Stegostoma tigrinum: one gene and its partners. The protein of the gene in region 2 purifies or fractionates together with the protein of the main gene of each other region. This does not show direct contact. Links are inferred from orthologs where the notes say so. Each region holds a gene or a part of one and is shown on either strand. Other genes may lie near its edges.

Region 1 (3,751 bases), on a different chromosome or scaffold from region 2:
CATTGTTGGCTTTACAGGAATTTATCTGAATGTCTGTGGAGTTGTCTTCAACAAAGACACTAGCATTTGTTCGATAGTCTTCCCATTGAGTCAAAGGATGTGGCCCAGACAATGACCGAGGAATTTATCTGGTGCTCCTATGTGTCAATGGTACACAGTCCTAGTTTTGCAAATTACAGGAGTGTAATTGAGCTGTATGAAGAATTTTGTTGGAAAAAGACACCGTGGATAGAAACTTCCACCATGGCATGTAGAAGGCTGAGCTGATGCAGCTGATTCTATTCGGATCTCATCATCAATGGTGGCCTTGCAAAACAGATGGTTGCAAATGTATGGGAAGTGTATCACTGTATCCCAGTATCACCTCTTCAACATATATCGAAGTTGGAATATTTGACTTACCAGGTTTAGATTGCTAAGAGCTTTGTTTTGGCAACAATCAAGATTAGGCAGAGCATGTGTATGAATTGAAGACTGTCTTGTAAATATGGCATATTATGAGAAATGACAGTGCACTCTTCTGCAATCTTCAAGTTATGTTCATGAGAGTCAGTTCAGCTGTGGCTTGGATTAAAGAATTTTCTTTATTTCACATAAGATGGCAGCTAATCTTGGATGAAGGGAATTGCACTGTTAGTTAGTCCCCACGTGCTTTACAGTCTATCTTATAGCCTTGCTTGATAATGGGCCAGATTCTCAAGATTGTTGCAGTCAGTGACCATGAAGTGATTTCAGGATTGTGAAGAAGTTTCTTGGACGTCAAATTCTTTGGAGAATCATAACTCAGTAAATTGCAAGGCTCAGTCTAAGTGCTTGGATGAATGCAATGCATAGTTCCTGACATTTTGTTACCGGGAAAATCAAAAACAAAGACCAGAAGCTTCTGTGGAAGATTTAAAGCCACTGGAAGTAAGACAATTCAGGTAAATGAGTCAGAATGTTCCCTGTATGGCCAAGAGGAAAACAGCTTGATAGTTTCCGCAGCAGAAGTCATCTCCCTTCTGGACGACAATTACCATAGTCTCTTTTGTGACTTTTGGGGGATGGCTTGGGGGAGATAGCCTTGAAAGTATCATCTGACAGGAAAGGAGTTATTGAAAATGTTCTTTCCAGCAATTACATCCCTTGGAAGGATTTTCATCCTGGGAATGAAAGAAGTCTTGTCCATTTGACCTTGGTCCACAAATGCCTTGTGGCTTCAAAAGATCTTTAAATGTCATGATGGTCAACATACTGTCAGATTTAATAGGCTCTCTCTTCTCTCTCTTTGTCCCTTTGTTTTCCAGGTTTGTCTTTGGGCTTCAGCCTCAATCTGTTGGGATGCTGTCTTGATGACTTTGGATGCTGAGTTGTCTACCAGGCAATGAATGCTATTTCTGTTCTAGGTGTTCACATATTTTACATCATTTTCATTGAATCAGTCTCAGTGGCAACAATATTTAAACCCATAGGCTGCATCCATTGTCCAAGTACAACTTTCAGCAAAATCTTCCATCCAGCACATTTTATTAAAATCACAAATCTTAGACAGCACATTAAATCAATCAAAATGGTGTGGTAATTACACACTTGAACTGCTTTGGTATCAAATGAATACCAACCAACAAAACATAAAAACTCCTCTTGTATCTAATTTCTCTTTCCTGATCTGATCCCACGCAAACAGATTCCGAGAAATGTCAAATAGTGATAATAACATAGAGAATGACAACGCTTCACAATGCGCAGGAAAGGCAGCAATTCTCCAGCAGCTGGGTTTAAGCGCCTGTGCTTGGTGGCCAGATCATGCCAGTTCCAGCACCTTTCCGGACTGCGAGAGAGAAGGCAAGAAGCACAAGTGGGTGAAACACACTCTGAAAGAGGCAAAGGACCCGAAACGTTAACTCTGCTTTCTCTGCTTTCTCCGCACAAATGCCACCGGACCCGCTGAGTCTCACCAGCAACTTCTGTTTGTGAACCATATTCCAGATGTTGGCCTTGAACCTTTTATTACGCGCCAGAGACGGGAAAAAAGCGAAGCCACAGGCTCATATCAACGGGCCGGAATATTCCATTCCTTCAGTTTTTTAAAAAAAGAAAAGAAAATCGAAGCAAGAAATTTCCGAAAAAAATTCTGAAAGTAACCTACTCTCCGTGTCCCATTCAGTTTACACCTACATGTTGCGCTCCACTTCTAAACAGGAAAGGGGGGGGAAGTAAGGGAACAGAATCCACAACGTAGTCGTGTAATAAACATTAAACAAACTGCGCCCACTTAAAGCCGCTGGCTCCGAGTGAAGGAAGACCCATTCCCCACGACCTGCAGTCTAGGCTTTTAGTTTGTAACTTTCACCCGCTCACCTTACTCTTCACTTCCACCGCCACCCTATCCAAACACTTCAGCGTGGTGGGCTTGTAACTTCTGTTCATTCTCCCTGCTAGTAGTTTTTCTCTTTCTCTGCGATGGGAACTCGCGGCGCCGAATCCCGGCACGAGCTGCTCCCTGCGTCGTTCCAATTGGAATTCGAAAGTGTTCCGAGAAGATCAGACCATTAACGAGTCTTCCTCCGATTGTTGTCGAACGGACTCAATCTCGCAAGCAAGCACCTACTTGCGCGCGCATACCCTTTCTTTCTCCAACAGTGTCTCTGGCACGTACCGATGTCATCGCGTAAAACCGTTAAGCTCCTCCCCCGAAGTGTCGTTGTAACATCGGAGTCTTCTTTCCAAACTGTAGTTGGCGTTGTATCGTGTGGCCACATCTTTAACTTTTTTTTAAAAAAACGATCTGTATGGACCTGTTATGCATGATATTACGTTCAGAGATGAGACTTGAACCCAGAATTCTGGGCCAAGGAATAACGTGGTCTGCATGTCCTGACACGAGAATTCCAAAACAAACTCTACTTTGAGCTCTGTCTTGACATGCAGCTACCGCAAGGGCAGATAAATTGCTTCAAGGACCTTCTGAAAGAAAACCTTTCTGAAAAATTCCAATATTCCCACTGATTTATTGGAATGTCTAGGCGTGACCACCCAAACCGGAGAAAAACACCTGTGAAGGTGGCAAATATTGAGACATCTCCCAACAGGCCCAAAGGGAAGTCAAGTGCAAACACCGGAAAAGGCCTGTTAAAGCCATGAACATTCCATCCATCGCTTCAGCAAACACCATTTTCTGCATCTGAGGAATGGTTTATGAGTCCACTCAGTATAGTCATCACACGACCCACACCACCGGCATGGAAAAAAAAGTTATCTTTGATTCTGACAAACTACCTAATCATTGAGATCATTGCTTTGAAAAGGTGGTTGATTTATCATGGTTGGACACTAACCTGTTGAAATCATGCCCACACTTCATAGGATCACCATCTTGGCTGGTGGTGACTGGAACAGAAACTGTTCGGAACTTTGAATGTTAGAATATTCACAAGTGACCATTAAGAAAGAAGAACTGTACTTAAATTACATGAGCTTTCAAGATTCCAAACTGATATAGCCAAGGAACAAGCAGTGGGTTGAAGTTTCTACTGGAAAGGAAAAAACTGATAGTTGGTTTGGCCAGCCAGAATAGGATCTTGGATGCACCACCAAAACACTCCAATTATATAAATGTAAGGTTAGTGACACTTCTTCCAAAACTCGGCCATAAAAAAAGTGCCATCATCAAGACTTATACACTACTCCTTGAATCTAATGAAAATGTTACATGAAAATCTCTATTCTGACATTGTTGGAAGCCTCAAAACCATCCCAAAACCAGAAATGA
Region 2 (3,751 bases):
TGCTGGGTTTTTTTTGGACTCTGTTTTCAATGTTAGTCAGGGAAGAGTCTGCCATTGGAAAAAGGCAGGTTTTTTTTGTCAGAATACCAGTCGGGGATGTTATTTACATGCCTTTGGAGCAAGTGACACTTGAACGCAGGTCTCCCAACTCAGTGTTAGTAGGAACTGCTGATGCCGGAGAATCTGAGATATCAAGGTGTAGAGCTAAATGAACACAGCAGGCCAAGCAGCATCAGAGAAAGAAGGGTCTTCACACGCAACTCTCTGATGAAGGGTCTAGGCCCGAAACGTCAGCTTTTGTGCTCCTGAGATGCTGCTTGGCCTGCTGTGTTCATCCAGCTCCACACTATTATCTTGGAATTCTCCAGCATCTGCAGTTCCCATTATCTCTTCACACGAAACGTCAGTTTTCCTGCTCCTCTAATGCTGCCTGGCCTGCTGTGTTCATCCAGCTCTACACCTTGTTATCTCCTAAATCAGTGATGACATTCCGAAAGAGCGTGACGAACGCGATTTCAGTGCAAGGCTTTCATTCTGTTGTTCAGTATGAGAGGCTTCTTGTCTCCCATTGGTTCCAGGTGATTTGGGGAGGGCGGAGGCCGCGATCGGATTGGCGGCAGGTTTTTCATTAAACAACGCAGCCATCCCTTGTTCTATTGGTCAAAGTTCGATTTGTTCCTGATTGGCCAAGGTGGGATTCCGTTCGCCGGTTTGTCCCTCGGGATTGGCTGGGGAGGGAGGGTAGTACAGGTAACTTCTGCTAGAATGTGATTGGTTGTTGATGCGGCTTGTGGTGTCCACGCTGGGGGGGCGGCGCAGGGTGGGAATTGTCGGTTAACCTGTAACCGCCATTTGTGCAGCGCGAGCTTTGCTAGAGTGGCGGGCTACCGGCAGCAACAAGTTTCCTTAGGAGCGCAATCGAGCAAAAAGAAACACGAGTTGATACTTCGTCACGACATTGAATAATAACGAGTTTCATCGAAAGTCTTATGTTCCATCTTTTCTGAAACTTGATTGGCTTCTGTGATTCAATTCGGCTTTTTTTTAAACAAGCAAAGATCTGCTGAGGTTGAAGCTTTGGGTTTTCCTAAAAGGAAAGTGGTGGAATTTGTACTGGAGAAGCAGCGAGAGGCTTTTTCGTAACTGCGCCTTCCTGTCCGAAAGTTTGCGCTGGTTTACTTTGAATCCGTTCGCTGGTGGAGTGTCGATTGTGTCATGCCTACGAGGCTGGATAACAACATGGAGCACGGAACAGGTGACTCGATCAAAGTCAAAGCTCACTACAATGGGTAAGTTAAAATAATTTGACACTCGATAGCTTCCCACAGTATTTACCTAGCATACTATTCGCTTAAGAAAGCGTTTTGTTTTATTGCGTCTCTTAGAAAATTGATTGAAAGATGAAAGCGTTTTCTTCAGGGAAAAACAATTTATCTGTGCGATCATGCTGCTGTGAAACTTTTTTGACACTTTTTTTGTAGGCAGTTACAGAGAAGATATGCAGAGTTTCAAGCATTTTAACACTAACAGTGTATGTTTCCAGTTAATCTATTCGAAAACTATTTATTTTCTTACCATACTAAACATTTGGCTTTGACGTTATTGAACAGGATGCTGTCTAAAGTGCGCTGTTTGTCTAAGAATTTTACGCGTTACATTATTAGACCTGTTAAATATGGGCTAGTTATTTTGATTCCTGTTTTGGTGTGGACATGCTTAAATTATCCTTCAGTGTGAATAATTTGGGGCATCAGCCAAAGGTTGTGACTCTGGTGTTGATCATAAAATCTGTATGACAAAACAAGGATGTCTTAGTCCTTCAGCCCCTGTAGTTATGGGTTTTGTTTTTGCAGGAATTTTAATTTACTAATTCAGGTAATGGCTTCTGTCTGCATAATTTTGAGCTTTTAAATATTACAGCCTTCTAGTGGTTCTGAGTGTTCAGTCTTTTCTCTTCAATTAATTTGCCATTATGTTGGTTGTGATACTGTAAACAAATATAACACCTGGAATTAGATGGCATGCTAAATATTAGGTACGTTTGATTTTTCAAGTCTATCACAACCAAGCACATCTAAAGTTTTTTTTGGTTTGTGACAAAATCTGAAAAACATTTTCGTGACCTCAATTTGCCTATGAGGACCCAACATGGCAGCATCCAGCCAATTAGATTCTACCCATGTGATTGCAACAAACGTCCAAAGACACTGGATACTGCAGAGAATGTGGAGCCTAACAACATTCCAACAATTGTGCTGATAAATCATGCTCCAGCACCAGCCAGGTACCTAGCTGACCTGTTAAAGTACATTTTTCATTAAGGTATCTATGAGAAAATGTGAAAAATTACCCACATATGTTCTGCCCACGTTAAATAGGCTAAATCCAACTTGGTCAGTTATCACTACTTCATTCTTCTCTCAATTATCAACAAACTGACAGCATTGTAGAATAAATCAGTTACTTCAGAAATGACGTGGCAAAAGGAGGACTGAAGGCCATATAATTGGGATTTTACATGTGTAATAGTATACACGTAACCTGAAACCAGAGACACAAACTAAAGCTACTCTATATTGCAGCTTTCAGCCTTGTTACACTCAGGTTGTCTCTTTGCTTGAAGATAAAAAAGATTTTTTTACAGAATTTAGTTTTCTTCCTGTCTCTTCAATGATTTAAATCTCATTGGATTGTTGTTGTTGTTGTTGTTGTCAAGTAGCATGGTGCTGTATTTTCTGGCCACTCTTGTTCAGCCAAACATCTTGTGTGTAGATATAAGGGGAGGCAGTGGCCTAGTGGTATTATCACTGGACTGTTAATCCATAGACTCTCAGTTAATCCAAAGAATCATAGCACGGTGCCTGAGTGGTTAGCACTGCTGCCTCACAGCGCCAGAGACCCGGGTTCAATTCTACACCTCGGACGCCTGTCTGTGTGGAGTTTGCACGTTCTCCTTGTGCTTGTGTGGGTTTCCTCCTGGGTGCTCCAGTTTCCTCCCATGGCTCAGATGTGCGGGCTAGATGGATTGGCCATGTTAAAATTGCCCATAGTATTCAGGGTTGTGTAGATTAGGGGAATGGGGTCTGGGTGGGGTGCTGTGAAGGTCGGTGTGGACTTGTTGGGCCGAAGGGCCTGTTTACACACTAGGGATTCTATATCAAAAATGTATACCTAGGAAATATTTTGGGGTCCCAGGTTTGAATCCCATTGGGCAAATAGAATTTGAATTCAATAAAAATCGGGAATTGAGAGTCTAATGATGATGACCATGAATCCCTTGTTGATTATCAGGAAAAATCCATCTGGTTTGCCCCTGTCTTTTAAGGGAACGAAACTGCCATCAATACCTGGGTAAGGTCTATATGTGACTCCAGACCCACAGCAATGACTCTTAACTGCCCTCTGGGTAATTAGGGGCGGGCAATAAATGCTGGCCTAGCCAGCAACACCCACATCCTGTGAAAGGATTTTTAAAAAATTGCATGATGTGCTTAAGTATTATGTTGGGGAATTTTGAGTTATGACTTTGATTATAATTATAGAGCAGGAATTTGTAAACCTAATGGCTGAACCAGCTTCCTTTGGGAATGCATATCCAATAAATTACTTATCCAACTGACACACAGCAAACTTGATTTTTACTGGGAGCGCAAAGTGAGGAATGCCAAGTTTAAAAACTTTATTATCCAAAAAAAGCCACACTGCAATCTGATATGGATCCCTTTTCATTCCAGTGGAAAACATCAATTTC
Region 3 (3,751 bases), on a different chromosome or scaffold from region 2:
GATCGTTATCAACTCCTTTGTCGATCCAACTACTCTTTCTCTCTTTGGGATCTATCCTTTATCCCATCATTTACACCTTAACCCCCATTTTCTGCATATAAATTGACTTTTTGTTAGCTAGCGTAAGTTCTGAGGAAGGGTGACTTTGATTTTTTTCGTCACAGATGCTGCCAGAAAAGCTGAGCTTTCCCAGCAACTTGTTTTTGTTCCTGATTTACAGCATCTGCAGTTCTTTTGGTTTTTATTTATTGTTGATCTCGCTCTTTCTACATCTTCTAGCCAGAGACTATTTCCCAGGGCAGAAATGGCTAGCACGAGGGGTCATAGTTTTAAGCTGGTTGGTGGAAAGTATAGAGGGGATGTCAGAGGCAGGTTCTTTACGCAGAGAGTTGTGAGAGCATGGAATGCATTGCCAGCAGCAGTTGTGGAAGCAAGGTCATTGGGGTCATTTAAGAGACTGCTGGACATGCATATGGTCACAGAAATTTGAGGGTGCATACATGAGGATCAATGGTCGGCACAACATTGTGGGCTGAAGGGCCTGTTCTGTGCTGTACTGTTCTATGTTCTATGTTCTATGTTCTCTACAGCCAGATTCTATTTCTGTAATGCACTTTGTATGGTATGATCTGCCTGTAATGCATGCTAAACAAAAGTTTTCACTGTATCTATGTACAAGTGACAGTAATAAATCAAATTGAAAAGAATAACACTAGAACTTGAGAGTTATGCCTATCCAAAACAAAACAAACTGAGTCTCTATAAGAATATGAAAGCAGTTGACAGGGCAGATGTACCAAGGATGTTTCCAGGTGCCATAACAATGACAGTCATGAATCTTCGAGGAAATTTAACCAAAAAGTGAAATTAAGATTCTGCGGTCTCTGCTCAAGGTCAATAGCTCGAATGAAGTGAAGGAGAAGCTAGGTAATTACGTGAGGACAAAAGTAATAGGACGAAATGATAAAGGTTGGAAGCAAGCTCCTCTGCAGCATCCATACCATCAGTTTCTGAGGTCACCGGACCCGACACGTTAACTCTGATTTTTTTCTTCACAGATGCTTGCAGACCTGCTGAGCTTTTCCAGCAACTCCTCTGATCGCATCAGCTCGGCTGAATAAGTTTGTTGCCGTATAAACTACATTTCCCAGGATGCAGCAAGAACAGACGGACCAAGAGGTGGATTGGTTGTTCCCAGGTCACATGGGAAAGAGGCTTCTGCTCATTAATTGGTCTCGACGAGGGGTCTCTGATGGCAATCCAGTGGGAGGAGCCAATAGGCGGCCCGTATATGCAGGGGCGGAGCTAACGGGTCGGAGCCGCCACAAAAGGATCAGAGGCGGCCGCGCGCCCCTAAAAAAGAAGCGAGGCGGAGGACAGAGAATCTTTGAATCTTACCAACCAGAGCTAGCCCACCGAAACCGGGGTGGGGATCCTGCCACCGAGATACCATCCCTGGGATCATGATGAAGTTTCGGTTCCGACGGCCGGGCAACGACCCGCAGCGGGAGAAACTAAAACTGGAGCTTTTCGCCTTCAATAAGGTGGGTGCGTGGGTGAGGGGAGGGGAGGGGAGGCCAAGGGCCTGGGGGTTGGGGAGGATAAGGGTGGTGGGGGATAGGGTATAGTGGAGGGTGGGGAGGGAGGAAGGAGGGACGGTCGAAGGGGGATGGGGTGTAGAGGAGGGGGCGTGGGTAAGTGGGAGATGAAACTATATTTTAACCTTTGGGTGACAGAGCCAGTAATCCAGAGGTCTGAACTAGTGACCTAAAGATTTGTTCAAATCTCAGCATAATAGCCGGCGACTTTAAATTCTCAACTGATGCTAGTGCTGGCAATGATAGCCATAAAGCGAGTAATTAATGTAACAACTGATGCTCACTTTCGGGGAGGAGCCTGCCATCAATTGCCATGTACAGGTATAGGCTCACTGTTAACTTGTTCAACAAATGGTCTATCAAGCCACCTGCTTGTAATTCTGAAGACAGTTCATCATTGCTACTTTTTCAAAGGCCATGAGCCATGGACAGTAAATGTTGGTCTGGTCTCTGATGCCCACACTGTGCCAATGCAACTAATTCTTGCCAGTGACCCTCAAAGAGGGTCTCGTGTTCCTCTGCACCTATCTTCTGATTAATTTTGCCTTACAGGTGTTTCACCTCAACCTTGGCTTTAACTTCAGTGCTTCTTTTTTAAAAAGTCAGGTTATTAATTTTGGTTATTGTGAGATGCCTGGCAAGGCTCCTTACGTAAAGGAAAGGAGAGAACTGCAGTGAGATCATGTGTCCTGAGAGCTGGTTTTAGAGTGGCAGTGATTTATTGGCCTTTGCATTGCTTGACAAGCTTGATTGTGACATGCTTAATTAATTTTGTGGTGGTACTTTAAGCAATAACTATCTATATTAGCACACTTTGGTAATGTCCAACTTGAACTGTAAATTGAAGAGTAAAGTCACAGATTTCATTTCAGCATTGAATGCTTGGATGCCTCTAACAAAGTTCAGAATTGGAGCACTTAACAAATGTGACCAGAAACTATGTACTTTCCAAAACAATGGCATTTCTTCACTGGATGGGCATTGGATGTCCCAAGCTTTAGAGCACACTTGTCATGTAGCCCTGAATCTTGGGGTGGGGGGGAAGCCAGTTTGTGCAACATTTGATTGAGGGCACCTCTTTGCACTGGAACATCACTTTGGGCAAACCAACAATACCTTTCACTGTGGTGCTGGCCTTCCAGGTGCAGAGATTTATCTCTGAGCCTTCCAAAGTACAGCCCATAGCGCAGGAAATGCTTCATCGCTGTGCTGCATCAGGACCATCCTCGACTATAATACCACATTGCTGCCAGACCTTCTATGCATAGGCATGTTCCAGAAGGGGTGCCAGCTTAACGACAGTGTGCAGTGCTGCAAAGTCCAGATGTGTGTAAAAGTTGTGTCGGGCTGCACCTGGTGTTTGTGCACAGAAGGCTTTAGCACAGTTTAGAAAGCATTTTGTGCTATTGCACATGTCTTTTCACCATCCCACTTCCAAATCTCTCTTGTAAATGTTGTTCTCACAGCAGACATACTTTGCAAGATGAGATAGCAAGAACTGTAGATGCTGGCGTCAGATAAATGTGGAGCTGGAGGAGCACATCAGGCCAGGCATCATCAGAGGAACAGGAAAGTTCATGTTTCTGGTCAGGACCCTTCTTCAGAAATGGGAGGACGTGAGCTGGAAAATAAACAGGAGAGGTGGGGCTGGTGAAGGTATGTGGGATGGTGTTGAGTGAATGCAGGTAGGGAGTGGTGGGCATTGGTCAGTGGGATGGTTGGGGTAGATAGGTGGGAGATAAGACAGACAGGTTGTGTGACATCAAGGAGATGGGGATGAGGGCAGGGGTGGGGAGATTTTAAAACTGCTAAATTACATATTTGGGCCATGGGGCTGTAGGTTTGTGAGGTGGAATGTGAAGTGTTGTCTGCCAGGTTCCAGGCGTTGTCATTGTAGCACTGGAGGAGGCCTGGGATGGTCATGTCACCCAGGGTGTGGAAGTGGGAGTTAACAGTTGGCAACTGGAAGGTGATATTGTTTGTTGAGTGAAGGGAGCAGATGCCCTATGAAACAGTCTCCAAGTCTTGCTTGGCCTTGCTGATGTAGAGAAGGCCACATTGGGAGCTGTGGATACAGTAGACCAAGTTGGCATGTGCAGGTGATCCCCTGTTGGATATGAAAGGTTTGTTCAGGCCCTTGGAGTGCTATGAGA

Evidence for each region.
Region 1: the proteins of prkcz (region 2) and partitioning defective 6 homolog gamma purify together in Homo sapiens (affinity purification with mass spectrometry; 6 studies listed by BioGRID and IntAct, counting the BioPlex papers as one, with this or other methods). This does not show direct contact. The link is inferred for Stegostoma tigrinum from reciprocal best matches to the Homo sapiens genes PRKCZ and PARD6G.
Region 3: the proteins of prkcz (region 2) and llgl1 purify together in Homo sapiens (affinity purification with mass spectrometry; 6 studies listed by BioGRID and IntAct, counting the BioPlex papers as one, with this or other methods). This does not show direct contact. The link is inferred for Stegostoma tigrinum from reciprocal best matches to the Homo sapiens genes PRKCZ and LLGL1.

The regions. Positions count from the first base shown.
Region 1 is NC_081355.1:34,916,551-34,920,301, forward strand, and holds the start of partitioning defective 6 homolog gamma, read right to left. Parts: upstream 2,588-3,751; 5' UTR 2,410-2,587; coding exon 2,341-2,409; intron 1-2,340. UniProt on the Homo sapiens protein: Adapter protein involved in asymmetrical cell division and cell polarization processes. May play a role in the formation of epithelial tight junctions. The PARD6-PARD3 complex links GTP-bound Rho small GTPases to atypical protein kinase C proteins.
Region 2 is NC_081381.1:22,673,644-22,677,394, forward strand, and holds the start of prkcz (protein kinase C zeta type), read left to right. Parts: upstream 1-828; 5' UTR 829-1,215; coding exon 1,216-1,289; intron 1,290-3,751. UniProt on the Homo sapiens protein: Calcium- and diacylglycerol-independent serine/threonine-protein kinase that functions in phosphatidylinositol 3-kinase (PI3K) pathway and mitogen-activated protein (MAP) kinase cascade, and is involved in NF-kappa-B activation, mitogenic signaling, cell proliferation, cell polarity, inflammatory response and maintenance of long-term potentiation (LTP).
Region 3 is NC_081376.1:25,395,529-25,399,279, reverse strand, and holds the start of llgl1 (lethal(2) giant larvae protein homolog 1), read left to right. Parts: upstream 1-1,292; 5' UTR 1,293-1,463; coding exon 1,464-1,544; intron 1,545-3,751. UniProt on the Homo sapiens protein: Cortical cytoskeleton protein found in a complex involved in maintaining cell polarity and epithelial integrity. Involved in the regulation of mitotic spindle orientation, proliferation, differentiation and tissue organization of neuroepithelial cells.